Linked DNA regions of Pelodiscus sinensis. The protein of the gene in region 1 binds, or shares a complex with, the protein of each later gene. Links are inferred from orthologs where the notes say so. Each region holds a gene or a part of one and is shown on either strand. Other genes may lie near its edges. The genes, in order: PPP2CA, ARPP19, PPP2R3B and STK26.

Region 1 (7,087 bases):
ATTCCTTCTTCTGATTTGTAGTATGGATTTGAACTTCATCTTCCATCCACCAGGATAATGACCTGCCCACTAAGCTATAATCATTTTCACTCTCTCTAAAAGCCAAATTTATATATAGTGGAACAACTTCAGCACGAGATACTGAAATACCAACCATGGAGTACCATTTAACCCAATGGCTACAGCATGGTGCTGAGAGGAGAGAGACTGGTTCAAATATCTACTCCACATCAGATAAGGAGTTTTGAACCTATGTGTACCACATCCTCAGTGAACTAACCACTGGGATAAAGGTTATAACAGGGTTTTTCTGTTGGGGGAGGAAGCAATAAAGGGCTATAGGTGTTTAATCCCAGGAGAGGATTCCATAACTGTGAACCTCAAATGGAGCTGGGCACCTAACTCTCAGTGGGCTACACACCATAGCCCTCCCCTTGGCATTTTCTATACTCAACTTGCTGGCTTCAATGGATTCTATTCTTAGGTACATAGTATTCCCCATGCTTCACACAGGAAAACCTGTGCATTTAACTCAGGGTTGTGAATTCCATCTGGAAGCAACAGGTCTAAATTCAGATACTGCAAGACTGAGTCCATTCCCTCTCTGGCCAATGGGAGCTGTGGAGTTTGCGCTTAGGACAGGAGGCAGTGCACGGACACATTCCTCCCCTCCACAGTCCTGCAGGAACATGCCCATCCTGCACATTTCCACAAGTGAGGAAGTAGCCTCCTGCTGCAGCCCTGCTGTACAGCCAAACTTCTAGATTGCAGGAGTTGTTGAATGAGAAGAGCTGATGATCAGTGAGGCCTGCAGAACTTCTGGGGTACTCTTGGGGGGAGGGTGACTCTTCCCCCATAGGGTCCACATATCCTAGGTTGAGAAATACTGTACTGAAGTACTTTTCAAGTGACTGATCAAGATTACAAAGAATTCAGAAAGTAGCAGGTTCAAACACACTGTAGTGACTCCAGACACCTCAAATCAGGCTCTTCAGTATTAATGATAAAAATTAAGAGTATTTACATCAGGTGTACAACAGTAATGTTTCAACTTTGCCACCTGAATTCCTTAAAACACTCCACAAATATTCTCCCCACACTATAGTTAAATGCACACCCCTATGCTATGCCACAAAAACTTTCAAGTCAACATACTTGATCAGTATTCCACATTAAAATGCTATTTGTGGAAACACAGATTGGTATGAAAGGAGGAGAGGTACTGTGGCCTACACAGAAATTGTTTCTAAAACACAAGAATGAGAATGCTGCATCATTCATGGCCCCAAGTGATCTTATCATGGTGCATGTCTCCATTTACCTATTTGCAAATGTCTAGGATTTTAGTGACAATAAGTCAGAAAGCCATTTAGCATGCTATACTGCAAATAGACTAGTTTATGTAGAGCAAATTCTTTTTTTCCCTTAAAATTTTCATCTTTAGACATTAAGTCACAATCTGAAGTGAAAATAAAATGTAAGAGATAACTATAACAGCTTTATAAAAATTGTAACGAAAATGTACTTGTGCAACCATTAAATCAACTTACCCACTTTTATTTTACTACAGTATCAAATTATTATTCATTCTGTCTAAATTCTACAGGGCTCCTCTAAACTCAGGAAAACCATGAGGAATGACCACCGAGACAGGTAATAGCCAAACCTCACCATCCATAACTACACAAAGTAAAACTTCATATTACCTGGCTATATTTAGAAATGCCTACAAGGAGAAACCAATACCCTAAATTAATCTAATTCCCAATTACAATTTAAAGGCTGTTCCAAACACATCAAAGTTAAAAAAAAATGTAATGCAATGGCAGTCAAAAAATTCCAATTCCAAATTACTTTTATGGAGAGGAATTCCTACACTACCACCTTAAAATGAAATTTCCACTTTTAATTCCTGCCATTTTGGTGGACTTTACAAGAAAAACAAACATGCATTAACTGTGCCAAGGGGGATGGCATTTTGTTCAAGTCTTCCAACAGGGCAGCAATTACAGATTGGGTCTGACACTAGTAGTGGCATCCTAACATAGCAGACATAAATCTGTGGCCACTACACTCCCATCTGCGTCTCATACAACTGCCACCGCTATTTTCAACCCTCCCCCCTTTTATGAGAAGCGGGGCTGGGGCATTGGAGGGAGGAGGGTGGGCGTTTGGACGCTGCCTTACAGATTTGCCTTTCTACCTCTCTCGCACGGAGGAACTAGGAGGTGACACCGGGAGCGACACCCCGAGCGCCGAGCACGGCTGGTGCTCACAAGGGTCTCTTCGCCCCGCAGATTCCCTGCGAGAGGCGCCATTTTAGGAGGCAACGAACAGCAGCCGAAGGAGTCGGTCTCCTAGCGGAGCGGCAGGGGGCGCAGAGCTGCCCGGGAGGAGGCTACCCCCGGCTCGGCGCTGTAGGACCCGCTATCTCCGCGGGGTGACAGACCCGCCGGGGCGCTAGGGGGGAAAAACCGGGCCCGCCCGAGGAGATGCGGCCACGGCCACCCCCCGCTTCTTCTTCGCGCTCCTCACGCAGGGGCTGCTCCGCGGGGAGCCCCCCCCCCGCCACAGGCCCCTTCCCCAGCCCCCTCTCCTCACCCTGTCAGAGGCGCTTCCGCCGCCCGCCCCCAGCCCGGACTCCCCTGCCCAGGCCTCGCCCCAGCTCCCCCCGGCCGCGGGCCCCCCGTACCTTCTCGCAGAGGCTCTTCACCTGCCCCTCGGACAGCTGCTTGCACTCGTTGAGCTGCTCCACCCACTGGTCGAGCTCCTTGGTGAAGACCTTCTCCTCCATGCCGCCCGCTCGCGCTCCCCTCCCCGGCTCCTGCCGCTACCGCTCGGCTCTGCCACCCCTACGACCCGCTCCAGGCCGCGGCCTCACCGGACACCCAGGCAGGTGCGGTGGCGGCAACCGACGCTCGCGGCTAGGTCCCGGCTCCCGGCAGCAGTTCTAGCGCTCTACACTCGTTCTTCACTCCCCTCCGTGTAATGGCCGCCGCGCCCTGACGTCACCAGCTCTGCTTCCCCCTCGGAGGGGGGAGGGGTAGCATAGCGCGTGCGCGTGATACCTACCACAAGAGGGCGGGGCCGGCCGAGGAGAGGCGGCGCATGCGTGATGTTCGTAGCCAAGTGGGGAAGCCCGAAATATCAGTGCATGCTTGCTTTACAAAGGGCGTAGCGATGTCGGGATTAGCGCATGCGCAGTGCTCGCACCGATGTACGGGCGCATGTGCAGTGGCTGAAGTAAAAGGAAGAGAATGGCGGGACAGCGGCGCATGCGCAGCACCAATAACTAGCGAGGGGGGGGAAAGATGTCTGAACTGAGCGATTGGAAGCGATCAGAGCATGCGCAATGTGAGGAGGGGGCAGGTTCAGAGCGTTGTAATAAGACGCCCGCTGCAGAGCCTGCTTCAGATGCTGCCCCTCGCTCTGTGGACCCCATCACACCCCCGCCACCCATAGTATTCCCGCCACTCCCGCTCCAGAGACCTCCACACACACAGTACTCCCGCCACTCCTGCTCCAGAGAGCTCCCACCCCACAGTACTCCCGCCACACACCCTTCCAGGGAGCCTCTCCCCCGCCACACAGTACTCCTGCCACCCCAGCTCCAGGGGACCTCTCTCCCCCAACACACTACTCCCGCCACATCCACTCCAGGGAGCTTCTTCCCTTCCCAATACAATACTCCTGCCACCCACAGTCCAGGGAGCGTCTCCGCCCAATATAATACTCCCGCTATGCCCATTCCAGTGAGCCTCTCCCCCCCCCCCCACCGCAAAATACTACTCCCACCTAGGGATGTAATAGTATAGTTGATTAACCAATAAGCAAAAGTGTATAGGTTAATGCTATAGAATACACGCATTCTCCACTCCCCTCCCTCCCCAGTACATTTTTTCTAGCAGGCTGGCCAGCAGCCCAGCTCAGTCCCGACTTGCGCCAGGTCTGGGACCTACCCCTGCTGTAGCTCTGCATTTAAAGTGTATTAGGAGCTAGGCGGGCAGGCAGCCTGGCTCAGTTCTGGCTCATGTCGGGTCCGGGAGCTTAAACACCTACCTGGATAGGGGCTGTATCAGGCAGCAGTGCAGGGCAACAGGCAGTCAATCCATTAAGGGAGCTGGTTTTTAAACTGGCTCCCCTTGTGGACCAGCTCCCGCCTAGCACCCCGCATTGCTGCTTTGGATACAGAGGTAGCAGTGTGGAGTGGCAGGGGGCTCCTTGGGAGTGGAACCAGAGTGCACTGGCTGCCGTCCTCGCTCCCAGAGGCTATAGAATAGTCAAGTAATGGATAAGAATTCATGGGGTTAAATGACTATTCAATTAACCCAGGGGTCTCCAAACTACGGCCCGCGGGCCGGATGCGGCCCGCGAGGCCCTCTCATCCGGCCCGTGGAGACCGTCCCTGGGGTGCCGCCGAACGGGCCCTTCTTGCCGCGGGGGGGGGCCCTGTCAGGGGTGTGCGGCGTGTACTCACGCCACGCCGGGGCAGGAGAAGCGGGCCGCTCCGCTGACAAGCGGCCACGCGGCAGCAAACGGCGCAGGGGGCGGGGGTTAGCACGGGCGGCGTTCCCCCGCCCAGACTGACAGGGCAGCCGGCCAATCAGGGGGCAGGAGAAGCGGGCCGCTCCTCTGACAGGTGGCCGCGCGGCGGCAAACGGCGCAGGGGGCGGGGGTTAGCACGGGCGGCGTTCCCCCGCCCAGACTGACAGGGCAGCCGGCCAATCAGGGGGCAGGATGGGCGGTGGTGGTAACGCCCGCCCGGCGACGTGCGGGGGAACGTGAACCCCGGCGGGAACTTTAAAAAGGTGACCCCTTCCGCCCGGGGTGGGGAAGGAGTGAGCGGTGGCAAGCAGGAGGGGAGGACAGCGTGCAGAGGAAGGGGAGAGCAGGGGGAAAAGCCCCCCCCCCCTTCCGGGAGAAACGGATTCGCAGGCGAATATTCTGAAGAGGAAACATTAAAAGCAACAATCTCTCTACCATAAGTGGATATATTTGCACACTATATTCAGGTAAGTTTAACTTAAGAAATCATAAGAATTTTTAAAAATTGTTTCGGGTCATTTGCAGCTATTATTGCGACAAAATTAGTTCGCATAATCAGGTTTTTTGAGCGATATTGTGTGCAAGATACTTTCAGTTTCATTATTTATTCATGTTGAATTCACTTTATTTTAGTGCCCAGCGATGGCCGAGAAGAGGAAAAGAAAAATAGACGATGAGTGTCGGCAATTTCAAGAAGAATGGAGTTTGAAATACTTCTTCATCAAATCCGGCGAGAAAGCATTGTGTGTGATTTGCAACGAAACCGTGGCTGTGATGAAAGAATACAACCTGCGCCGTCATCATCAAAGCAAACATCAGGAGAAATATGTACAGTTGAAGGGTAAAGTCCGTGCCGAAAAATTTTCTAAATTACAAAATCAACTCACATCTCAGAGGACATTGTTCAGTAAATCCTCAAATGAAAATGAATCCTTAACTAAGGCCAGTTATAAAGTTGCCTACGTCCTGGCTAAAAGTGGCAAACCCTTTACAGATGGTGAAGTAGTGAAGGAATGTTTGTTGGAAGTGGCTGAGGAACTTTGCCCAGAAAAGTCAAAACAATTTGAAAATGTAGCTTTGGGTGCGAATACCATTGCCCGCCGTGTTGCAGACATGGGTGAAAACATTGTGACTCAAATAGCGAAAAATGCAAGCAAGTTTCGCCATTTTTCAATTGCAATGGATGAATCGCTGGACAGCTGCTCCACCTCTCAACTGCTTGTGTTCATTAGAGGTGTGGATGAAGACATGAACATAACACAAGAGCTGGCTTCCCTACATAGCATGTATGGCACTGTTACTGGAGAGGATATATTCAATGAGTTGAAAAAAACATTTGCTGATTATAACTTGGACTGGACTAACCTCAGTTGCCTGACTGTTGATGGAGGAAAGAACATGAGTGGCATAAAGAAAGGCTTGGTTGGACAAGTGAAGCAGATGTGTAATGAGAAAAACATTATACAACCAATGTTCCTGCACTGTATTATTCACCAGCAAGCTTTGTGTGCTAAATATGTGGACATTAGCAGTGTACTGAATCCTGTGGTGAAGATGGTGAATTTAATAAGGTCACATGGGCTCAACCATAGACAGTTCAGAGACATGTTGAAAGATACAGACACAGAATCACAAGATTTACCATATTACACAGCAGTAAGATGGCTAAGTTGTGAGAAAGTTCTGAGCAGAGTATTTAAGTTAAGAAAGGAAATAGGTGACTTCCTGGAAAGTAAAGGCAAGCCACAGCCATTACTGTCTGATGAAGAGTGGGTATGGAAATTGGCTTTTGCTGCAGACATAACTAGTCATTTAAATTTTCTGAACCTAAAACTACAAGGAGAGCAAAATCTAGTTTCTGATCTATACACCCACCTAAAGGCCTTCAGATCCAAACTTGTCTTGTTTTTGGAACAAGTACAGGCCAACAACTTGACGCACTTTCAGCAGTGCAAGGTATTCATGGCTGAAGCAACAGCTGAGTTCCCCACGTCATTTGCATGTGAGATCATCAAAGACCTCCAGCTGCAGTTTCAGCAGCGGTTTTCTGACTTGGATTCAAAGGCAGAAGAAGTGAGATTGTTTCAAAACCCATTTGAAGCAGATGTGGCCAGTTGCCCAGATGAACTGCAGCTGGAAGTCATTGAGTTGCAAGCAAATGACCTCCTTAGGGACAAGTTCAAAATAGGACTGGTGGGTTTTTACCAGTTTTTGCCCAAGGAAGACTTTCCTAATGTCAAAACTTTTGCATCAAGGTACCTTTCAATCTTTGGAACAACATACCTGTGTGAACAAACATTTTCAAGAATGAAATATGTGAAGAACAATTTGAGAACAAACTTGTCCGATGATAATCTCAGGTCACTGTTGATGTTAGGGACAACAAATCTAAAGCCAGAAATGTCTGCTATTTTGGCATCAAGGAAACAATTTCACCATTCACACTAATACAGGTGTTCATGTGTAGTGTATCAATGTGTTATTAAATAATAACTGAATAAAATAATATTAAATAAATAATTAAAAACAACATCCATGTTTT
Region 2 (7,953 bases), on another chromosome or scaffold:
ATGCTCAGACCAATCAGGGTGTGTGGGTGGGGAAGCATCCTGGCTTTGCCCCTTCTGCCTGAGGCCCCACCCCTTCCGGAGCAAACCAGGGCCACTTCAAAAATTTCTGAAGTAGCCCCCAGTCAAAAATTATTGCCCACCTCTGCTCTAGATGCATAACTTTGGTAAGTGATGCAGAGGTACTACTTTCTTGCAATAACATTTTGATAATCTAGTCTAAAATAGCCAATATTACCCAGGGAAAATGTTTCTAACTGTTTTATTCAATATTTCTCATTTCCTGCTACATAAGAGAGCATTTGATTTGCCTGTGGAAATACCAGTGATGACTGTGCAAACTGCTTTCCTGTCTTGTCACAGGGTTCCTGCATTTATTCCTAGCACATAACATCAGTGAAAGATTGAACAAAGACGTGAGAATGCACAGATTTTAAAGCAAGAAACCCTGAAAAAATTAATATACTCTTAGTTGACTTTTGAGAAGGGAGCTGGGCAAGATCTTCTTGGCTCCCAAATGAAACAAGTTGAGGGTGCAAAATAAAAGTGCCAGTTAATAAAATCTAATCTGCAGTTTACTAAATATTAAGTCCAGTAGCACAACTTTGTAAAAATGACACATACAGCATCCTAACAGCACGCAAATCAAATGTGTTCAATTTTAATACAAAGTTTGTTCTTTTAAATCTCTCTTACTTAGACCATTAGGCTAGATTGGATCCATTTCAAATCAATTTCACACTGGAACTACTGCACCAGAACAATGATACATTATTTGCTGAAAAAAAAAATCCTTACATGTTTAAACTTTGAGGTCTTCATACTGATATTTGGTTAGTATCAAAGTTTTCAGCATGAATCAATTGCTTGAACTAAAATACTACGAAGGAAATCATATAAGCTATATTGTTGCATAATTTAGTATTTAAGAATACTCACATATACAGAGCTATTGTGACAGTGATGCACATTCCAAAGTGTGTTGTGTGTTATCCTACATTTTTGGCTAGTAACACTATCCCTTCAATAGTTTTTTTACAAATGTTTGAGCTATTGAAGACAAAATAAAACAATAAGCTACATGCTTGTAATAAGTTTGAACTAGTACGGTCTTCATTAAGATATTTCAATTAGTCAGCATGAGCCCAAAACCCTACCTTTACAACCAGTTCAGCTCAGACACAAGAAAATGGGTAGATGACTGCAAAGCTTTGGGCCATGGCTACACTCTACAGCCTATAATGACATAGCTATACTGCTGTCAAGCCTCCCATGAAGCTGCTCAATGGCAATGAGGGAATTCACCCTCCTGTTGGCAATATTAAATCACTCCCAGCAAGAGGCAATAGCTATGTTGACGGGAGAGTGTCTCCTGCCAATACAGGGCTGTCCACACCAACATATTTGACAGTATAACTGAAGTGGCTCAGGGCTATGTTTTTTTCACACCTCTTTGCAAGATAAGTTGTACCAAATTTGGATGACATATATTTGGTTTACATACTATCATCCAAGTTTAAACAGGGGTAAAAAAGTCACAGCACTTCAGCACAAGAGAAGTGATTCCGTAACTTAAGTCCAGCTAGGAAGACTTTTAAAATAACAATGTCCCAGTATTGTTTGCAATGCAGTCCATATAACAATAACACAAGTGTAAAAAAGAAAAGATTTCTCATGATCCAAACCAAGAAAAAAAAGGCTGCATAGAGTGAAAGCTATATTCCAGTTTTCAAAGTTCGAGATACTATAAACAACAAATAATGTGTTAAAGCTGCCAATTGCTTCTTTAAAATGGCTATTCTCAATAATGACAGGGCATAAGTATGGTACAGCAGTTTTGTTTTGGAAGCTCTCCATTCTCTATGGCTTACAGGAAAAGGTGACATTCTCAAGTGGCTTGCTGCTCCTTAAACCATTCAGAAATAAGGATGCTGATAAAATGGTGGTTAGTGTCCGCCTACCAAAACTGCACGTGAAGAATCTAAAACCCTTCACACTCCTAACACAGACAAGTACAGGGACTAGCTGGGGGAGAGGGAAAGGCCCAAGGACCGGCACAATGGGGCGACGGAAAGTGTTCGTTCCCGAAGCTTCAGGCATATCAGTGATTCATTGGTCAGGAGAATAAAATTCCTCATGAAAAAACGTGCAAAGGTCAATCTCTTAATATCATTCTTCACCCCTCAGCTATATTCAGCTATGGAGCCGGGGCCTGCACCCACCTCTGCCCCGCGCATTCACACATCTCAGCAACACCTCCCAACAGTGCTCAGCCCGGGGACAAGCACCCTGATGTTGCAGGGGGCCGCAGCGCTCCACTGCAGGAGCCAGGGCCCGGGGCCGCGCGACACCCCCGCTTCCTGCGGGGAAGCAACCCCGAGCTGTGAGCTCGCGCACGCCCGCTCCCGGACCACCCCCCCCCCCCCGCCGGCGGTAACGCGCCCACGCAGAGACAATCCCCACCGCTCAGGGAATCCGGCCTGCTGTGCCGCGGCGGACCCCGCGCTTGCGGGGCTCCCCTCAGCCCTGGAGCAAAGCGGCCTCGCAGAGGCGACGGGCAGCTCAGGCCCGGGGCGCCGCGCCCCAGCAGAATCAGCGGCCCTCGCGAGTTGAGAGACGGCAGCGCCAGCCGCCAGAGACGAAGCCCGCTGCCAGGCCAACCGGATGCAGCCGACCCGGGCCCCGAACCGACATAACTCCGGAGAGCGGCCGCCTCCCCCACGTGCCCTGAGGAGGCACGACCCGGCCGCCCACCTTCTGCTCCTCGGCCGAGGCGGGCTCCGGGCTCTCGGCGGACATCGCGCCCCCCCGCAGCAGCTGCTAGAGAAGGAGACGGGAGGGATTCGGGACGCGCAGCCGCCTCCGTCCTTCGCTGCAACCAGCGCCGCCGCACACACCGATCGCCTCCCGCACAAGATGGCCGCCGCGCTCACGACGGCGAGCCGGCGGGATCAGACTTCCTCCGCACTCCCCCTCCCCAGCCAACCCGCTTCTCAACCTGAGGTAAGAGAGCGAATAAGCAGAAAAGAACTGTGCAATTTCCGGCCTCACTCTTTACGCCAACGTCCGACTTTTGAACGTCATATCCGCCCCCTTTGCAGATGCATACTGGGAGTTGTAGTTTAGTCTTTGTCTGGTCTACCTCTTTAGGATGGCTCCAATTTACTCCGTGATTGGGCCATTTCGAGGGAAGAGAGCGAGGGAGACCTGCGTTAGGACAGGGGGTGTCCACATTAGTGCCAGTTAGGAAGCCTCCCCTGCCTTTAACGAACAGCATCCTTGCTAGCGTGACCATATTTCCCAAAGGGAAAATGGATCAGTGCCCGAGTCACTTGCCCATGTTCTCCCCTCCTTCCCCGCAGCACATGAGGCCGCTGGCCTATGCCTTGCTCCTCTTCCCCGACTCCCGGCACGGGCTAACTCAAGTCACTGGCCTGAGCTAAACCTCCTTCCCCAACAGGCAGGGCTCTCATCAGGACCCTACCTGTTACCCATGTCCATGTGTGGTCACTCCTGTGCGTTGCTGCCTCTTCACCCTAGCGTTGTCCAATACTTTCACAACAGCTATCAAACATGGCAGGGAAGGGAAATTAGTTGAGCCAAAAAAAAAAAATGCAGCAGTGAAGGAACGTCCCAAGTGGCCTTCCGTCTGAGAAAAAACAGAAAATAACCGGACATTTTACATGCCCTACATTCATCCTCGGGGCTAGCATCAACAATTCATAGAATCATAGAGCTGGAAGAGACCTCAGAAGGTCATCAAGTCCAGCCTCCAGGACCAATCTCAACTAAATCAACCAGGCCAGGGCTCTGTCAATCCGAAATTTAAACATCTTGCAATTATCCAAGCCCTGCCTGTCCCTACTGCCTGGCAGGCATTGCTCACAAATCCTACATGCCCAGGTGCTCAAGGCATGAGGTCTGAGCAGGAGTTTGGGTGTGGGAGCGGGCTCAGGGCTAGGGCAGAAGGTTGCAGTATGGAGCACTTACCTAGCATTTTGCGTCTAGCAAGGTCCCAGCATGAGCAGAGGCTTCTGCTCAGGCTAATGCAGAGAGTTCAACCTCAACAGCTCACACTCCCTCTAAAAATGTGGATGGAGTACCAGAGAGAAAACACCACAGTAAATGTTGCTGTAACACTGATTATATTATAAACACACATTTTCCCTGGTTGATTATTGATAGGGTTGCTAACTCTCCCAACCAGTTGAACGAGATGCCCTTTGTGGCAATGACATTCAGTCCATCCAGTCTTGGAGAGTTTGTGAGCCTAATTATTGGTGCTTGTATTTTTGCTAACAGATGTGCTAGTTATTAAGATAAAACACATGGGCCATGTCTACACTGGTGGCTTTTTGCACAAGAACATCTTGCGCAAGGGTTCTTGTGCAAGAAGTCTTGCACAAGAAAAAGTCCACACCGCCATGCGTGCGCTGTGCTTTGCACAAGAGCTCCCATGGCAGTGTGGACACTCTTGCACAAGAAAGCTCTGATGGCCATTTTAGTCATAGGGCTCTCTTGCGCAAGAAATTCCTGCCGAGTGTTCACATTGCCCTCATGCGCAAGAGCTACTGTGCAAGAGAGATTACACCTTATAAAAAAGAGCATAATTCTTGCGCAAGCAGTCCTGTCTTATCATGCTGTACTGTAAATTTACTTGCGCACGAGCAGGTTTGCATTGTAGACTCTCTGCGGATTCTTGCTCAAGAACGGCCATACTTGCGCAATAACCCGCCAGTGTAGACATAGCCATGGATTGAGCTAAGATGGTGTGGGATGTGGCATTCCCAGGATTGCATACCGCTTGAGAATGTGAGAAATCTGAAGCTGTGAAAAAAGCACTTTTATTAAAATAGTGAACTTTTGAATAGAATCTTTTCAGTATTCTCTCCAACTTCTCTTGCCAATTCTGACAAATGTATAGTGAGTATGGCTATTTTGGCTGCTACGTTAAGAGGTCTTGCTGAAGGATCCACTCAAGATCAGAGCAGTGCAACTAAAGTAAGAGTAAGAACAATCCCTAGCCTGATGTGCTTACAACAGGAATGGGGAACTTTTTTGGGGTCAGGGCCACACACAAGTGAGAAGCAAAAGAAAAAACCCCACCAACCCCTCACTGACATGACACCCAACTGACATAAGCAACCTGCTCCAGCCCCACAGTGGGAAGCAGAAGGCTGGAGTGCCAGCGCAGGCTCCCCAGTGGGCTTTAGGTTCCCCACCCTTGGCTTACAGTCTAATGCAGTGGTCCTCAAAGTATGGTCTGCAGATTACTAGTGGTACTCCAGCCTTGACCCCCTATAGGGTTGGAGCACCAGTGCTGCAGGGATCCAACTCATAAGGGGAAGAAGACACTTCATGTGCTGCCACTGCCCTTCCCTCCCATGGCTAGAGGAATAGAGGCTTTCCCCCACTGCTCCCTTTGGATGGAATCCTGGGGGCAGCAGAGATCACTGAGCCAGGTAAACATCCCCTATCTCTCTTAGACAGCCATTCCATTGAGACCCTCCCTTCCACCCAGACCCCACACCTCCAGCCTGATCCTGCACCCCCCTCCCAGCCAGACATCATCCCTCCACCCTCTTCTGCACCCATTTTATCATGATGGACAGTTGGCTGGTGTTCCATGGAAAGGTTTGCATTGAGTGGGACAGGCTGCAGGCCAAAAAGTTTAGGAACCACTGATCTAATGTAAAGTATAGTGATGAGTTTGATATGGGAGCTGGAATTGAGACTAAATCAAACTCATCCTCTCATAAAGGCAGTGCCCAATATATTAGATAGGAGATCTAATCTCTGCTGATCTGGGTTTTTAATCCCTGCTGAGCTGGGTAGGATTTAAACTGGAAATTTACAAGCTCTATGGCTCATCAGCAGAAGCCTGAGGTAGCTAGTCTCCTGTAAACATTACTATAATACCTTTAGCCACACAAGTTTGAGGGGAGAATGGACCTGTCCTCTATGATGTTTCCAACTCTGTGGGATTATCATCAGTGTGTAAAATATGCCATTTTAAAGAACCTGGAAGATTTGTGATCTTTGGTTGTTGGTCTGTTTGGTTTTTACCTTTAAAAACCCAAGAATTTCAGCTTTGCTCATTTAAGATGAACAGAAGATTTCTCTCATGTTTTTGCTTCGAGGCCTCTGGATGCATCTTACACTTCAGCTGACTGGCAAGACTTAAAAAGTCTTCCTTTCTTCAGAACATTCTAATAATCTGACTAAAATGCTGGCCTGTTCCCTCTCTACTTCAGTCATCTTGGTTCTTGAAGTAATAATTTCAAAATTCTGTCAATAATCAGAAAGTTCCAAGGTAGACGATAGCAGACTTTCTGATGTAAAGAAAATGTAAAATGATACACAAGCTTTCATCATAAGAGCCTAAGATTGATGTTTCTCTTAGCAATTCATCTTTAAAATCCTCTTGAAGTTTCAAGTAAAAAGGGTGTCTTTCCACCCCCACTTTTATTAAGGCTAGGGCTACAATGCCGCTGTTTTTCGGAAGATATGCAAATCACACTCACATTTGCATATCTTCTTCCAGTTCTTTTTGCGGAAGAAGTTTTGCTGATTAAAAGCCTCGTGTAGATGGGGCCATTTGTCGGAAAAAAACCTTCTTTTTCAAGATCCCCTATTCCTCAAAAATCTAGGTTTGCAGGATGTAGCCGTTAACTGTTGTAAATTTTGCTGTAGTAGATATAAAAAGCAGTTATGTTTTTACTAAATAATGGTAGCATTTATATGCTGAGTAAATGATTCTTTTAAATATCATTACAAAACCCATAGGTTGAAAGATAGTATATAGGCATGCAGTTATATTGTAAATTTTGTAAAAAAGCTTGAAGCAGCAGTTTTCCTTTTTTTGAAGAACCTCTATCTGTGATCTTTTATTTTCAGAGAGAGGCAATGGGGAAGAGATATTTAATAACTGATGCCTTGATTACTTTTGCAAACTTTAGATATATAATTAAGCATGTCTGAAAATGCAACATGGAAGCTGATGTGAGTTGGACTGTGGTGTTTTTGCTATTCTGCTGCTTATGTGGTGGAGCAAGCACAGTTGGTGATTTTTAGGTTCTACACTTTTCAGCGTAAACAAAGTTACACAGAAGTATAAAAAGAATAAAACTTTGTATGCACAAGCACAGTTGTTGGACTTTAAACTCTTCAGGGCAGTGGCTGTCTTATTCAGTTTGTAGACCACCTAGCATGCTAGAACTGGATCTAATTCAGCCCTGTTTGCACAACTGCAATTGAAGTAAATAGCAGTAAAGCAGCATGCCAATCATTTCAGAATTAAATGAAAAATTGCAGTATCTACATTTAGAATACTGTATGAAGTTTAGTTCACTTTAAAGCACTGGTACTCAGTTATGTGACTTGGGAGCCACTTCTGCAATCACCATTAACCATGATTACTGTATGCCCTGTGCAACACCCCATGAGACACACACATAGAACCAAATACTGTACATTCAATTTTTAAAATAATTTTTCAATGCAATGAAAACTAAATGTAGTTCATTTAGTACATGAGGGGTTTGGAATGTGAGAGGGGCTCCAGGCTGAGAGAGAGGTTTGGTGTGCAAAAGGGGTGAGGCTCTGAGCAGAGGATGAGGGGTTTGGGTACAGGAGGGGGCTCAGGGCAGGCGATTGGAGTGGGGTGCAGGGTGCTTACCTCAGGCAGCTCCTGTTCAGTGGCACAGCAGAGCTGAAGTAGGCTCCCTGCCTGCCCTTGCTCCCCACCACTTCTAAAAGCAGTCAGCGCAGTGCAGATGGGAGATGGGGGCAAGTGGCTCCTCGCACTACCCTTGCTTGAAGGCACTGCTCTTGAAGTTCCCATTGGCAGGAGCAGTGCCTGCAGGCAAGGGCACCATGCTGATGGAGTATCAGAGTTCCTGATCCGCTGTGCAGCTCCAGCTGAGCGGGGGGGGGGGGGGGGGGATGGACACATCA
Region 3 (7,873 bases), on another chromosome or scaffold:
AAATGAGAATAAGACCACATTCCACCAACTGTGATTTGTACCAGGACTTTTAAAACTAATTTGAGCTGTGAAGTTTATTCTACGGGTCCCCATCCTGTGCAATCTTCACAAAAAAAAAAAAAATTATCTGAGGCCAGAGCAATACTACAGACCTATACTGGTAAAACTACATCACTCAAGGTGTGAAAAATCCATACCCCTGAGCAACAGTTATACCAACTTCACCACCCACCGACAGACAACTCCTCTTGCCAATGCCATTACTGCTTCTCGGGAAGGTGGATTAACTCCATCAATAGGAGAAACTCTTCTGTCAGCATTGGAGTGTTTTCACTAAAGCGTGCACTACTAGAGCACTGTACATGAAGACAAGCCCTAATAATGTTTAAACATTTATTTCCAACTTTACCAAAAAAAAAATCTTTCTTTCTGTGAGTGTAAATGTGCAAAGTTCCAAGTGCTTTTGGGGTTTTTTTTAATGAAAAAAGTCAGTCTTGAATAAGGCTTAAAACCGGATACTACAGAGACAAAGTGATTACTCAGTATAATCCTAAATGAAGTTTCTAGCAGGTTGTTACTCAAAAACATCTTGTGCAAGAAGACGTCCACACTGTCATGTGCTTTTGCGCAAGAGCATCCATGGCAGTGTGGACACTCTTTTGCGCAAGAAAGCTCTGATGGACATTTTAGCCATAGGGCTTTCTTGTGCAAGAAACCCTTGCCCCGCATCCACATTGCCTTCTTGCGCAAGAGCTCTTGAGCAAGAGGACTTACCCGTTAGAAAAGAGCATAGCTCTTGCGCAAGAAGCCCTCTCTTCCAACGCCGTACTGTAACTCTTCTTGTGCAAGAGCAGGCGGGGAGTGTGGACGCTCTGTGGAAGAATGGCTGTTCTTGAGCAAGAACCCGCCAGTGTAGACATAGCCTTGGATTGTTATGTCTTAGTAAGAACACAAAACAAATCACTGTTGAAAACACCAGTTAACATTATTAACCTTTACAATGTATGGAACATTGTGCTTTTAAAAAGCCAGTGCAAACCTATGATGCTGGGAAGTGTTGGAATAGCAGCAAGACCTTTCAGCTTTGAATTTCTTTCACTTCTGAGGCAAAACTCCAGTTTGAACATGCCTAAGTTTAGAGTTTAAGGGAAGAAGGAAAGGGCTAAAGCAAAATACTGAGAAAATCTGGTTGTTCTCCCAGTTCTATAGTTGATCCTGATAACCTGTCACCTCACTTAAAAAAAAACAACACACACTCTCAGAAAGGGGCTTAATGTTTGCAAAACATTCTTGTCCTTAGATGGAAGGCTTTACAGATATGTAAAATACTTGCAATTATTATTAAAACCTGAATTAAAGTAGCATATTTGAAGCTTTTGACAAAACCATAAAAATGTACTTATGTTTAAATTAGGAAGTTTGAGCTTTTATCCAATTTTCCAGCTAACATATGTCTTAACAATGGACAAAAAACTCAGGAACCTTTAAACATCTATAACATCACTTAGTCAAACTTCCTTTAGATATGGCTTGTTTGTCCTGGTTTGAGTAAATGTCAGATCTGCAGAGTAATACACTGCATCAGAATTAACTACAAGTTCCACTAAATATTTGAAGATTGGGATTTCAGTTAAGTGAATTTGGGGCACATGTAACACTGAAAGATGATTTGTGCAACATAATACATTGAGGCTCTTTAGTAAAAAGAGACACCCATACTCCACATTTTAAGCTATCATCAAATAAAAGCAGAGTAAAAATTCAGTATTCAGTTTACCCAAACTTGCATATGTTCAATTCCATATGTTGATTTCACAGTTTTCTACAGGGAAAGCCTAAACACACTATGCAGTGACAATGCTTGCAATTAAGCACACAAGACAAGGCAGGCAGAGCTACAGTTAAGTGACTGACATTATCTCACCCCTTCCTGTACATTATGTTGGTTAGTGTATTTTTCAGACGTTGTGTTTACAGCATCAGAGTTATCCATTGTGTTAAATTCAGACCTTTTTCATTGAATGACAACTATTTGATATGGAAGAAACCCATTGCATGGCCTAGTCCACAAAGCTCACTACAGGGCTGAATGCACAGTGTCTGTCTCCTGATGGATTCAGTTCCCTGAGGAGATCAAACCAGGGTGCACTACTGTCAGTCACGAAACTAATAGACAGCAGGCTTAAGGCTATCAAGAGGAAGTACTTCACACACCGCACAACCTCTGAAACGTGTCATCTAGGGATGTTATTAAAGCTAGAATGATAAAGTTAAAAAAGAATTAGATCACTTCACAGAGCATAGGCCCATCAATAGCTATTCGCAGAGCTACCAGACTGCTGCAATATTGGGGGCTTTGTTTTACCCCATTCTCATTTTTCACGTCTGACATCCTAGCCATTAGCCAAGATTGTCCGGGGTGCAACCCCGCCCTCCTCCTGGGTGCGCGCTCTGGGACATCTGGAAGCGGAGAGGGGATGGATGGTTTGACAACTGCCCAGTTCTGTTCACTCCTCCCGAAGCACCTGCCCTTGGCCGCTGCTCACATGGCCCCTTGCTCTGGCCGCTCCGATGGCTTCAGCAGCCCCGCCCCGCCCCCGCCGAGCCCCCGGGCAGCGGACAGGCCCCGGCCGCACTCAGCTCCCTGCTCCTCTCAGGTCCCTTCCCCACCGGGCGGCTCGGGGACCCGCTGGCAGCCAGGGCCCGGGACTCCCCCGCCGGGCTCGGGGCGCAGACGGCGGCGGCGGTTTCACGTCTCACCTCCGGCGCCTCCCGCCGCTGCCTTCAAACCCACCGCGCCGCCTTCCGGCCCGCCCCGCGCGGGAGCCGGCGCTTTATCCCCCCCCACCCCCCCGCAACTCTCACGAGACTCTCCCAGCGAGAAGCTGCGCGCGCGGTTGCCCGGGTGACAGGAGGGCCCACGTGGCGGGAAGAAAACACCGCCGCGCCGGGAAGAGGCGGTGGCTTGATGGCGGCACCGTGCGGGCGCCTCGCTTTCCCAGCAGCCCGTGCGGCTTGACCGCCTCCTCCGGCTGCTGCTTTCCTGGCCCCGCCCTTTTCCAGCTCTACTTTCCCAGCAGCCCGTGCGGCGCGGGGGGCGGGGCTAGGTGTTGATCCTTCCCCTCCTCTCCCAGCACAGACTCCGCCCCTTTGCTGTCCTTGAGCGCAGCCTCCGCCTGCTCCATGTCCCTGGTTGCAGGGGATGCAGCCCCCGCTGGCCAGAGGCTCGGGGTTTCTACCCCCCTCCAGCATTGCCCCCCCCCGCGGGGCTGGAGCAGGCAGAATCTACTAGCCTGGACCTCCCAGGGCTCTGGTGCGCCTGGGGAATGGGGGCAGGGTCTGTCTCCTTCTCAGTGGGGCCACACGGCAGTGAGAGGTTGGGGGTTTTTTTTGTTTTACCTCTCACTTATGTGCACCCCCCAATTGATTTTTTTCTGTGTGTCAGCAGTCTTCCCTCCCCCCAAAAAAGTTCCCCATCCCTGCCCTATTGGCTCCCACCCTTGTCTCTTGTGGGTCAAGGATTGGGGCTTGGTTACCTCCCTGTGCCACTGGATCTTCAGGATCCTTCCCTCCTGCTTGGGAGTCTCCCCATCCTTATGGCTGAGGGCACATGCCTGTGGCAGGGATGCTTCTGCCTGGCTTCATAGTGCATCACAACATAAGGGACACAAAGGAGTAGCCCAGCTTGTCCCTACAGCCAAGAAGTCACAAAGCAAGGTGCTGCTGTGCCTCAGTGTCATTTGCCACTATGGTCCTAGGCTCCTCTAAGGGACTCCCCCATCTTCACCTAAACCCTTATGGATGGCAGCCTCTTTTGGCAATAGTTGCTAAGCAGTGGGTCAACGGCGCACTTGCTGGTATTCTGAAGAGAGCTGACTAATCACGTGATGCTGGCTCTTCTTGTTTCCAGCTGTTAAGTTCCATTAAAAGACAGCTAAAAATACATTAAATATTTTCCTATTGCGTTTCTATGTAAGCAATTGCTGTAGTTGCCATAGGAATGCTAAGGTGGGGGTTGCAAAAGGGAGGAAAGGTGTTTCTTCTAATGGACAAATGAGAGAGGGTGTGAAGCCAAGCAATGCTCAATTAAAGGTAAATAGTAAAGGTAAATAGTAAAGAGTCTTTCTGTTAAGAACTCAGTTTGAGAGCCACTCCCTGCAATATAGTTCACTATACTCTTGCTCTCCAGCTTCGAAACCTCTGCATAGTTGCATCATTTGTATACGTTTCACAAATATCTGCGGCTTTTTAGATAGGCTTGTGGGGTTGAGAATATAAAGAGGGGCATGTGCTTATTCCCTTATATGCACTTTTCACTCACCTATTGGCATCCAGCTGCAGATCCACTGTATTTTTACCCAGATATTCCCCCACCCTTTCCTAATATGGTTGCACTTCCTTTCATATATATAGTGCAACCATATCAGAAGAGGTTGTGGGGAAATCTGGGATTTATTCAGCATTGCTCGGGTTAGCAATATTCCATATGAATTGGGGGGAGGCTTCAACACCCCTCACCCTCCCTAAAGGGAGCCTGGGGGAGAGGCGGGGGAGGCTTAGTTAGGACTGACTGTGAGGAGGTTAGTATTCAGGCTGCTGAGGGAGAAAGGACTGCCCCAGCCCTCTCTGACCGCAGCAGCTTGGGGTCAGGTGATAAATGCCTGTTCATGGCCGCTACAGCTGTAGAGGGCACAGCCAGGAGAGGGGCGCATGTTTCCCAGCCGGGAGACAGATACACAAACAGACAAATTATTTCTGATGGTTGTCCCTTTGTCTACCCTGGCCCCCATTATAACTGTCCCAGTCCCCATCACTGATCCCTTACTACTCCCCCTGTTGTCATTATACAATATAACTGTCCCTGCAAGCAGAACCCTCCTTTTCCGTGTTATGAAAAACAATCACATTACACGCACATCCCATTATCCTGGCACAATCAAACCATGACCTTGCTTTAAATTATGATAAGAGGAAGCTACATACCCAATTTGGTGGTTCTTGCTCTTACTGTTTAGGAGGAGTTATTGAACAAAGAGACAGACAAACTCTCTCAAATATATAAATAGATAAACTATGTGTCACTGTGAAGTGAAAGAAAGGATTTTGCTAAATTTAAACGATTTGCTGCTGGCTTCCTATGGCATCTTCTGTGTAATGGTGGAATGGCGGTTTTTGAAAGATTAGTGTTCCAGGGCTGTAGCAGCGTTAGAAGTGTTCTTTCCCTACATTATCATCTATATGAAGCAGCAGCAATTAAGTTGAAATGGAATTTAGTATTTGAGAAGGGAGGAATGAAGAGCATGTCTACACTGCAGTAAAACACCCATGGTTGGCCCATGTCAGCTGGCACAGGTTGCAGAGCTATACAATTTCTGTGAAGCCATCTGGCCTTTGGCTGGAGCCTGGGCTCTACTGCAAGCTTGAGTTATTTGACACAGGCCAACTGCAGGTGTTTTATTGCAGTGTAGACATACCCTGAATTTAAAATTATGTGAATCTAGGAGCTGTGAAAAAGTGGCCTTGCTCCTCCACTTGTGAAGAGTAAAGGAAAGAGGGGATAGACAAGAGGAAGCTAAGATTGCATGAGCAAAGGAGAAGGTTCATATGAGTGGTGTTGAGAAACAATCTTGTATAAATCCAAATGCCAACAAAAGCAGGAAAGCAGTTGCTATATTAAAAATACTCACCTTCTACCCAAACTACTGGCACAATTGTCATTTTTGTTTAGCTTTTTGAACCATTCCTGTAAATAATTTCATATTTTGACACAGTTTTTAAAATGGATTCAGAGATTATAAGAAAGTCTGAAAATTGACGAGGAATAAATTGAGGGGCTTCACTTTTTTGAGTAAGATAATACTCTGGCTCCTGCATAGTGGACTGTAAAGTCAGGAGAGCAGAATATTAGGAAGACAAAAATGAATTGAATTGCGTTCTCCAAGATGGAAAATTATTAAGGCATTGAACATAAAATATGAAAAATAGAATCTGAAGTAAGGAAAAATCTGTGAATATTCTGGAAGTAGTCAAGGACAGATTTCAATATGGAAGATGAGGGAAGACAAAAAATATTATTTGTCATGGATTATAAGATTTCTGTCCCTTGGAGTAAAGGCCTGAATTAAGCAGAGTGAATAACAGAAAAGTCAGAGACATGGAACAAAGAGGACTCTTAAAACATTTTGAAAGTCTCTGAAGCATTCCTTTGCAATGATGTAGCCATCTGTTGATTGACAGAGTGACAACAGGTGGCAATAAGGGATCAGAGAGCCACTTGAGTGAGTTGTAAAGTTGGATATCATCTGCATAGAAATGATTCCCTTTGTCGATGCTGACAATGAGAGCTCCCATAGGGAGCAGATGGAGAAATCAGAGAAAGGAAATAAACCATCTGTGAAAAATACATAGGGTCAAATCTTATCTATGCATGTTGGTGTAAATTCACAGAAACTAAATTTACTTTAATTGAATGTGTAAACATTTACACTGTTTTCTGTGAGATGGTAATCAGACCCTTTATGTCTTCAGTGAAGCAAGTAGCATTTGGAGAAAATCATCAGCTGGTATTGCAACTGGAGGTAACAGTTTGGCAAGTTGGTCCAAGGAAACAACTTGAAAGAGCTGGAGCAGGTCTCCTCCAACAAGGTGTCTTTTATGAAACTTGCTTCTGCTCCCCATGTCTGAACTCAAACTTGTCCAATTTTAGAAAAAGTTGTAAATGCACCCTTTTGTTAAGGCCTTCCAAATAAGAGCTGACTTTGGATTTCCTGTGACAGGGCTAGCAAGCCCCGCACTAGTGACAGTGACGGCCCAGCACTATGGGGGGAACGGGCAGAGAGGAGGTGGTGTGCCTCTTGCGTCTGCCCGGCGCAGGCACATGATGTCACCCGTTAAAGCAGCGGAGGGGATGCCGGCGTCTGTCCAGTGCAGGAGAGTGACGTCACCCGCTGAAGCGGCAGCGGGAGGCTTAAAAGAGTCAGGGAGGACCCAAGAGTGGGGAGAGCGAGGAGTACAACCCCAGGGAGGAGGGCCGGTGGAGCAGCCCGAAGGCCAGAGAGCAAGAAAGCCGGAGGCCCAGCCAGACGAGGTGCAGTATCCAGCGGAGGTACGTCGGCATCAGTAGGCAGATAAGAAGTGGCCCAAGGCGGGGTCGTGAAGCCCGTGGGCTGGTGAGTTATGGGGAACTCCCCCATCATCCAGGCACAGGAAGTAGGAGTCCCTGCCTTAGGGCCCTGGGCTGGGACCTGGGAGTGAGGGTGGGCTGGGTCCTCCTACCCCGCCATCCACAATTGTCTCCTGGTGCTATGAAAGTGGTGAGCCTTGCGAATGGTATCGGAGATTGACTAACTGAAAGACTGCGGGGGAAACTGGTGAAGGGCTTTGGACTCGGAAATTGAATAACTGAAAGACCGTGGAGAAACTGGTGGAGGGCTTTGGACTCGGCTGCTCAGACTAGAGTGGGCAGCGGCTCATGGGGGGAGGGAGCAAAGAGTTTTCAAGGAGATGGCTTTTGAATTTCCTTAGGGTTAAATAAAAGGGGAACACGCACGCCTCCTGAGTCCAATGGTTTACACTTCCCTATAGAAATTTGTCTTCTGACTGGTATTCCCACATCTCAGTTGGTTTAATGTGTGGTCAACATAGATTTGTTTGGTCCAATTTGTTCAAAATTTACCCATTCACTCCAGTGATGAACACTTAAAATGTACATTTGAATAATAAAAAATGAGTGTATTAATTATGAATCGATATCCAGTGTCTTAAAGTAATGGAGTCATATTCAGTAGTTACCTAAAAGGTGATGAAAGTTATACATGGGGATAAATGATGATCAGGAAATAGGGTTAGGGGGATGTAGGTGGTGCAGTAAAAT
Region 4 (7,913 bases), on another chromosome or scaffold:
ACTTTAGGAAAGCGTGCTTTAAGTCTACATGTGCACAACAAGGTCTGGGTTAAACTAAAAATGCAGAAGTGAAAGGTAAAGGTAAATATTGGAAAATGGTGCTCTAAATAATGTCAGAGTCCTGTCTGGACTACACTAGGGATGTTAAATTTAGATTAATTGGCTAATTGAATAGTCAATGCAATTTGCATCAACTATTCGATTAGTCGATAAGAGCACCTCCACCTTTGAAATGTAGCAACAGCCCTAGGGCACTGCCATTTTGAACCACCCTGTTCTCTTCCTCCCTCCTTTCTGCCTCTTTCTGATAGAGGCAGCAAGAGGGGAAGGGGGGGGGGGGGGGGGGAGCGACTAGTTGACTAGCATGTTGACTGTTGGATAAGCATTTGCTTATCGGATAGTCGACTAGTTGCTCACATCCCTAGAGTAGACGGCAGCTCAAGAAAATGAATAGCAGAGCAACTTTTAAGATGAAGAAATGGACAACCAGATTATGGAATTTACACACAGAAAGTGTTCAAAATACTTATCAAAGCAATACAGGAAAATTCTCTGAAGAGAAGTCACACCAGGGATGTAACTAAAAAAACAAGGCTTAGACTAAGATTTCTCAGTCATTTTCCAAAAAAGTTCACTTGCTTCTAATTTTTAAAAATGTACCATCATCAACATTGATATAATGTGGAAATAAAGTGTATTGTCAAGTTAAAACGATATAGCAAAGTGTGGGTTTGATGTCTGTTTGCACAATAGAAAACTGATGATGCAATTACTTTGAAAGGACAAATTCAAGAGATTTCAGAAGAAGTACAGAAATGGTGCAGATCTTTAGAAATAACGGTACTAACTTTAGCCTTACAAATGTTATCATTAGCCCGGCCCACTTTGCTGAAAGTTCATTAGCCTTCACCATTTTTGGAAAGGGCACAATTATAGTGTTTGGGTAAACATTCCATAAATACTTACAAGCTGCATCTAATCACACTCAAAATATTGTTACTAGGAGTTTTGAAATCTCCCTTTACTCTACACAGAATTCTCCAATTTTCATCCTAAAAGCTGTTGTATTAATTTCTTCCTTGATTTCACAGGCATGACTGCAAAATGAAGAAAAAAAAACTCAAACAGAAATTGTATTTTCTATTTTTTAGAGTTTGGTACTTTTAGTTGTAGCTGTGCCTCCTAGGATTCTGGCACAAAGCCCTCCAGAGTTTATGGACATACACGGTCTCAGAAAAATTCATTTGCTTTTTTTATTTTTATTTAATTTGTAGAGTGGTGTGTAAAAAAGTAATTGACATTTAAACTAGGTAGAGGAAAAAAGAGGAACAGATATTACTAGAAAAATTAGATAACTAGGAATGCACAAATTTGTTTTGTTTATTTTACAAAACCCAAGCTTTTTTACAAGAACTGAGATATGCTAAAAATAGGACATCGCAGTGCAGGGCTGAAATGACTTGTCTTGAAAACATTCTGGATCATCACTCTCATTGGGAAAAGTTACAAGACTCGTTTTCAAAGGAAAATAGCATATGTCTACACAAACTGAGTGAAGACGCTATCTTCACCAACAGGGGAGGTTCTCTGTGGGTAGAGGTGCTCCACCCTCCCTAACAGATGGCAGCTAGGCAGACACAGCTGCCCTTGGCCTCCTGCTGTCTACCAGGGGCATTCGAATGGTTAACTGAAATGCTCTGGGGCGTGGCTGTGTAATACCCCTAACAGATATTAGTCACATCAACCTAATTTCCCAATGTATACAAGACTTAAGGAGTTTGATGCCCAAATGCCACTGAAATGGGCATCTGGTGCCTAATTCTTTAGAATTAGGTGAGAACCCCACCCTAAATCTGCTTGAGGACCTTAGAAAGAGGAACCATGTCAGAGGTACTTCAGTGTATCCAAAAAGCAAAAACTGTCAACAGCAGCAACAAATACACACAGAAGCCCATTTGTAAATGGGGCTCCCAGTCTGGTGCCAGCCACAAGACTCTCAACAGAAGGACCACTCTGAACAGCAGCAAACTCGCTGTAAGCTGGCGGGGCTTCACCTTCCCCATCTCTTTCCATGCACCACGCGCCCCCCGGGGAACCCTCCACACAGGCTGGCGCCAGGCAGTGTACCCGGGCCAGCTGGGCTGACATGGCCTGTCATTGCAGACACACCCATGCAGCAGGTGACATAGCAAGGCCTCTTTTAACCCTTCAAACGCACTTGGGTGCTGCGGGATGAAAGGTGGCTTCCAAACAAAGCCCCTGTAGTGCTATGGGGGGCCCAGCCACAGCCCAGGCCCCCGCTCCCCCCACCAGTGTCTGGCCCCCTCAATCCCCCCACTTGTGTCTGCCCCCCCGCCAGAGCCAGGAACTGCTCATCTCCCCCCCCAGCCCTGCTCCCCCCCAGCCACAGCCCAGGCCCCCGCTCCCCCCACCAGTGTCTGGCCCCCTCAAACCCCCCCGCTCCCCCCACCAGTGTCTGGCCCCCTCAAACCCCCCCGCTCCCCCCACCAGTGTCTGGCCCCCTCAAACCCCCCCGCTCCCCCCACCAGTGTCTGGCCCCCCCAACCCCCCCGCTCCCCCCACCAGTGTCTGGCCCCCCCAACCCCCCCGCTCCCCCCACCAGTGTCTGGCCCCCCCAACCCCCCCGCTCCCCCCACCAGTGTCTGGCCCCCTCAACCCCCCCACTTGTGTCTGCCCCCCCCCGCCAGAGCCAGGAACTGCTCATCTCCCCCCCCAGCCCTGCTCCCCCCCAGCCACAGCCCAGGCCCCCCCGCCAGAGCCAGGAATCGCTCATCTCCCCCCCGCGCGGCCCCGGCCCGGCGCAGGCCCGCTCACCTGCATGCCGGGCACCTGCACGGCCACGGGCGAGTGGGCCATGGCGGCCGGGCCCGAGCGCTGCGGGCTCCAGGCGGGGCGAGAGGCCCGCTCCCTAGCGCGCGGCCCGGTCCCGGCGGCTGCGGCGCGCGCTGCCCATGGCGGGAGGGGCTCAGGGCGCCGCGGCGGCCGGCGCCATGTTGGGCTCGGGAGGCTGCGGCGGCTCCGTCCTTCCGTCCGCTCGGCGGGGCGCGGGGTGGAGCCGGGACCGCCCACGGGGGGCGGGGCCTGGGGGATCGGGGGGGGGGGTCTCTGCAGGGCGGGGCGGGGCCTGTGGGGGGGTCTCTGCAGGGCGGGGCCTGTGGGGATCGAGGGGGGGTCTCTGCAGGGCGGGGCGGGGCCTGTGGGGGGGTCTCTGCAGGGCGGGGGGGGCGCTTGTGGGGATCGAGGGGGGTCTCTGCAGGGCAGGGGGGGAGGGGAGCCTGTGGGGATCGAGGGGGGTCTCTGCAGGGCGGGGGGGCGCTTGTGGGGATCGAGGGGGGTCTCTGCAGGGCAGGGGGGGCGCTTGTGGGGATCGAGGGGGGTCTCTGCAGGGCAGGGGGGGCGCTTGTGGGGATCGAGGGGGGTCTCTGCAGGGCAGGGGGGGCGCTTGTGGGGATCGAGGGGGGTCTCTGCAGGGCGGGGGGGCGCTTGTGGGGATCGACGGGGGGTCTCTGCAGGGCAGGGGGGGCGCTTGTGGGGATCGAGGGGGGTCTCTGCAGGGCGGGGCCTGTGGGGATCGAGGGGGGTCTCTGCAGGGCGGGGGGGGCGCTTGTGGGGATCGAGGGGGGGTCTCTGCAGGGCGGGGGGGGCGCTTGTGGGGATCGAGGGGGGTCTCTGCAGGGCGGGGGGGGAGGGGAGCCTGTGGGGATCGAGCGGGGTCTCTGCAGGGCAGGGGGGGAGGGGAGCCTGTGGGGATCGAGGGGGGTCTCTGCAGGGCGGGGGGGCGCTTGTGGGGATCGAGGGGGGTCTCTGCAGGGCAGGGGGGGCGCTTGTGGGGATCGAGGGGGGTCTCTGCAGGGCGGGGGGGCGCTTGTGGGGATCGACGGGGGGTCTCTGCAGGGCAGGGGGGGCGCTTGTGGGGATCGAGGGGGGTCTCTGCAGGGCGGGGCCTGTGGAGATCGAGGGGGGTCTCTGCAGGGCGGGGGGGGCGCTTGTGGGGATCGAGGGAGGTCTCTGCGGGGCGGGGCCTGTGGGGATCGAGGGGGGTCTCTGCAGGGCGGGGGGGGCGCTTGTGGGGATCGACGGGGGGTCTCTGCAGGGCGGTGGGGGCGCTTGTGGGGATCGACGGGGGGTCTCTGCAGGGCGGGGGGGGCGCTTGTGGGGATCGACGGGGGGTCTCTGCAGGGCGGGGGGGGAGCCTGTGGGGATCGAGGGGGGTCTCTGCAGGGCGGGGGGGCGCTTGTGGGGATCGAGGGAGGTCTCTGCAGGGCGGGGGGGCGCTTGTGGGGATCGAGGGAGGTCTCTGCAGGGCGGGGGGGGCGCTTGTGGGGATCGAGGGGGGTCTCTGCAGGGCGGGGCGGGGCCTGTGGGGATCGAGGGGGGGTCTCTGCAGGGTGGGGGGGAGCTTGTGGGGATCGAGGGGGGGTCTCTGCAGGGTGGGGGGGGCGCTTGTGGGGATCGAGGGGGTCTCTGCAGGGCGGGGGGGAGCTTGTGGGGATCGAGGGGGTCTCTGCAGGGCGGGGGGGAGCTTGTGGGGATCGAGGGGGGTCTCTGCGGGGCGGGGCCTGTGGGGATCGAGGGGGGGGTCTCTGCAGGGCAGGGGGGGAGCCTGTGGGGATGGAGGGGGGGGTCTCTGCAGGGCACGGTGGAGGAGGAGCCTGTGGGGATGGAGTTGGGGGTCGCTGCAGGGCACGGGGGAGCCTGTGGGGATAGAGTTCGGGGTCTCTGCAGGGCATGGGGGATGGACCTGGGGGTCTCTGCAGGGCAGGGGGGGAGCCTGTGGGGATGGAGGGGGGGGTCTCTGCACGGCAGGGGGGGAGCCTGTGGTGTAGGTGGAGCTTGGTCCTGCCTTGAGGGCGGGGGGCTGGACTCGATGCCCTTTTGAGGTCCCTTCCAGTCCTATTATTCTATGATTCTATGATGGAGGGGGGGGGTCTCTGCAGGGTGGGGGGGAGCCTGTGGGGATGGAGGGGGGGTCTCTGCAGGGCACGGTGGAGGGGGAGCCTGTGGGGATGGAGGGGGGGTCTCTGCAGGGCACGGTGGAGGGGGAGCCTGTGGGGATGGAGGGGGGGTCTCTGCAGGGTGGGGGGGAGCCTGTGGGGATGGAGGGGGGGTCTCTGCAGGGCACGGTGGAGGGGGAGCCTGTGGGGATGGAGTTGGGGGTCGCTGCAGGGCACGGGGGAGCCTGTGGGGATAGAGTTCGGGATCTCTGCAGGGCACGGGGGATGGACCTGGGGGTCTCTGCAGGGCACGGGGGAGCCTGTGGGGATAGAGTTCGGGATCTCTGCAGGGCACGGGGGATGGACCTGGGGGTCTCTGCAGGGCACGGGGGAGCCTGTGGGGATAGAGTTCGGGGTCTCTGCAGGGCACGGGGGATGGACCTGGGGGTCTCTGCAGGGCACGGGGGATGGAGCCTGCAGTGTGGAGCTGGGGATCGCTGGGGCGGAACAGGAGATGGATCCCCCGGCTCTCAATGTGCCCTCCCCCCATACTCCTTACTGCCGGGGGCCTCAGAACAGGGCCCAGACCTTCACACCCACCTGGTGCCCCTCTGCCAAAGTGGGCCTCCCCCTGCAGGAACCAAGTCTGTGGGCCCTTTGCTTGGCAGGCCCATGGATGAGGGCCTGTGTTCCTTCATACTTGACCAAGGCTCAGGGGTTCCTTGGCCAGGCCCATGGATGAGGCTCGGCTCAGCTTCCCTCCCCAAGCTCACCTGATGGGGGTCACTGCAGTGTGCTAGCACCGCTCTCCCATGCTGCTTGCCAAGCATAATTTTTTGGGGCCTAGTACAAACTTATAACACAGGCCTCCCTCCCATATGTATGACAATTTGCAGCCTGGACCTCTGGGCCTCAGTGAAGTGTACCCTTCTCCCCTCCCCACCATGTGGGGGCCCCGGGCGGCAACCCACTTGTCCTTCCCCAAGGATGCTGTTTATCAACAAGGAGGACACTGTGTTCTGCTCTTCCGTGGCATTTGCTCTCTTAATGAAGGAGGAGATGTCTGCAATAGCTATTGGAGATCCTCTTGAGACAGAAATTGCTTAGGAATTGTGGCCTTTTGTACAGGCATCACTGTATTCAACTCAGTTTGGTGGGTTTATAATTTGACATCCTGGAAACATCTAACGAAGCAAGTCTTATGTTTTGATTTGTTCATCTAGTAGTCCACAGTTCTTCCATAGCCTCCTTTGAGGAGGATACAAAGTTGGCAACGTCCTCTCTTTTCACCGGCTGCATTGCTGGTATGGGGAAGCCACTGTTCACCTTCTTGTGGCTCAGTTTCTCCACTTGACCAGTTGCCTCCAACATAACGATCACCCCCAGCTTTCGTTCTTCTGTTCGAACTTAACACTTGGCTGATCTCCACTGTGTCCCCCTTGGTAAACACCCAGACACAGTGATGTTTTTTCTTTTTACAGTTATTCCATCCCCTAAGATATGAGCCTGCTCCTGGGTTTAGTCTTCCTTAGCGATGATTTTCCCCTCTTGAGGATGATTTTTCAATTGTCCAGCTCCAGTTATTTCTCTTAGCTGCCACAGAACCTCCTGACCTTACTTTACCTCCCTTCTGTGATGGGCAATTCTGCTTCATGTTTGAAAGGAAGGAAAAATAGTATTTCAGGTGACTTTCCTCTGTACTTAGTACCCTGCACTCATGTATAGTTATGGGTAAAACCTATGACAGTGCATATCTACAGTAGGTCTAAAATGCCTTTTTATCCAAAATGGTTCTTTCTTGTGATGTATCAGTTGCTCTGAAAATTTACTCCATTGTCTGACACCTCCATAACCCAAATTTGCTCAGATCTAGAGAACTGAGCTCATATGAATTAGGCAGTACTTTTTGGCTTTGTCTACACTGCAGAGTTTTTGCGCAAGAAGCTTTTTGCAGAAGAGATCTTCTGCAAAAACTTCCTGTGCAAAAGCACGTCCACACCTCAAAAGCACATCGCAAAGCGATGTGCCGTTGCGCAAGAGAGCATCCACACTGTAGGAACACTCTTACGCAAGAAATCTCTGATGGCCATTCACAAGAACTCTTGTGCAAAAAGGAGTTATTCCTCGTAGAAAGAGGTATACCTACACCACAAAAAGCCCTCTGTTCTGCCCTTCTGCTGTACATTTTCTTGCACAAAAATGCACTTGAGGTATGGATGCTCCACAGGTTTTTGTGCAAAATTAACTGTAGCCAGCATGCAGGCCCTTGCTCTTGGATAGTACCCTTTCTCCTCCTCAAACGTTCCAATGGGGCCCATTATCATTCTAGAAAGCCCTTACACAACTGGAGAGAGAGAGTTACCTGCTGGCCCTACTGAATTCAATAGGAATCTAGCCATTGACTTAATTGGGGTCAGCCTGATAACCATAAGGAAACATCCAGTGTTGAGAAGGCAGCCTTTTCATTCATCTAGGCCACCCTGCCGCCATTAGGTTGGATAATTATATAGCTCAGACCTACTCCAACATAATTATTTAAAGGAAATTTCTTTATGCAGGATTCATTTAAAGGCAGTTTTTAAAGTTGTTCTTATTTCTTCTGCACGAAGAAGTGCTTGCAACATTCAGTATGATACTAAATACAAAACACATCTGTTTAGGTTAAGGTTGGGCTAAAGCCATCTAAGCCTAGAAATTCAACATTCAGGTAGATGGTCCATCTGTAACTGACTGTGGTTTAAAATCAAACAAAACCCCACAATGATTTCAGTGGAGGATAGGACATGTGGCTAACACCGGAGCTTTCTGTCTTGGTTTGTTAAAATTTTAACATTAAAATATTTACTTGCCTACTCACCTCTTTAAAATATGTATTTTAAAAGCCCTCTTAGTGAAAGTTATAAAATACATGTTAGTTACCTGGAAGCCAGTAAGGACTCCAATCTCATGGGTAGGTTA

The links.
Region 2: the proteins of PPP2CA (region 1) and ARPP19 are in contact, whole or in part, in a cryo-EM structure (PDB 8TTB), measured with the Homo sapiens proteins. The link is inferred for Pelodiscus sinensis from reciprocal best matches to the Homo sapiens genes PPP2CA and ARPP19. Residues at the interface, in NP_002706.1 of Homo sapiens: Arg89, His118, Gln122, Gln125, Val126, Tyr127, Tyr130, Asp204, Asp205, Pro213, Arg214, Gly215, His241, Gln242, Leu243, Met245, Tyr265, Arg268, Cys269; in NP_001293124.1 of Homo sapiens: Phe60, Asp61, Ser62, Gly63, Asp64, Tyr65, Asn66, Met67, Lys69, Ala70, Lys73, Ile92, Pro93, Thr94, Pro95, Leu98, Arg101.
Region 3: the proteins of PPP2CA (region 1) and PPP2R3B are in contact, whole or in part, in a crystal structure (PDB 4I5L), measured with the Homo sapiens proteins. The link is inferred for Pelodiscus sinensis from reciprocal best matches to the Homo sapiens genes PPP2CA and PPP2R3B. Residues at the interface, in NP_002706.1 of Homo sapiens: Cys20, His63, Tyr91, Tyr92, Arg135, Lys136, Tyr267, Arg268, Arg294, Arg295, Gly296; in NP_037371.2 of Homo sapiens: Met410, Leu432, Asp436, Cys439, Gln440, Met441, Leu442, Asp443, Leu444, Lys446, Glu450, Gly451, Lys462, Leu463.
Region 4: PPP2CA (region 1) and STK26 share a complex: the UniProt entries of both Homo sapiens proteins name them as parts of the core of STRIPAK complex. The link is inferred for Pelodiscus sinensis from reciprocal best matches to the Homo sapiens genes PPP2CA and STK26.

The regions. Positions count from the first base shown.
Region 1 is NC_134727.1:28,175,661-28,182,747, forward strand, and holds the start of PPP2CA (serine/threonine-protein phosphatase 2A catalytic subunit alpha isoform), read right to left. Parts: upstream 3,016-7,087; 5' UTR 2,795-3,015; coding exon 2,693-2,794; intron 1-2,692. UniProt on the Homo sapiens protein: Catalytic subunit of protein phosphatase 2A (PP2A), a serine/threonine phosphatase involved in the regulation of a wide variety of enzymes, signal transduction pathways, and cellular events.
Region 2 is NC_134724.1:25,594,315-25,602,267, forward strand, and holds the start of ARPP19 (cAMP-regulated phosphoprotein 19), read right to left. Parts: upstream 3,002-7,953; 5' UTR 2,797-3,001; coding exon 2,752-2,796; intron 1-2,751. UniProt on the Homo sapiens protein: Protein phosphatase inhibitor that specifically inhibits protein phosphatase 2A (PP2A) during mitosis. Inhibition of PP2A is enhanced when ARPP19 is phosphorylated.
Region 3 is NC_134711.1:224,710,143-224,718,015, reverse strand, and holds the start of PPP2R3B (serine/threonine-protein phosphatase 2A regulatory subunit B'' subunit beta), read right to left. Parts: upstream 3,012-7,873; 5' UTR 2,761-3,011; intron 1,014-2,760; exon of another isoform or gene 775-1,013; intron 1-774. UniProt on the Homo sapiens protein: The B regulatory subunit might modulate substrate selectivity and catalytic activity, and might also direct the localization of the catalytic enzyme to a particular subcellular compartment.
Region 4 is NC_134723.1:45,941,820-45,949,732, forward strand, and holds the start of STK26 (serine/threonine-protein kinase 26), read right to left. Parts: upstream 3,011-7,913; 5' UTR 2,878-3,010; coding exon 2,836-2,877; intron 991-2,835; exon of another isoform or gene 976-990; coding exon of another isoform or gene 967-975; intron 1-966. UniProt on the Homo sapiens protein: Serine/threonine-protein kinase that acts as a mediator of cell growth. Modulates apoptosis. In association with STK24 negatively regulates Golgi reorientation in polarized cell migration upon RHO activation.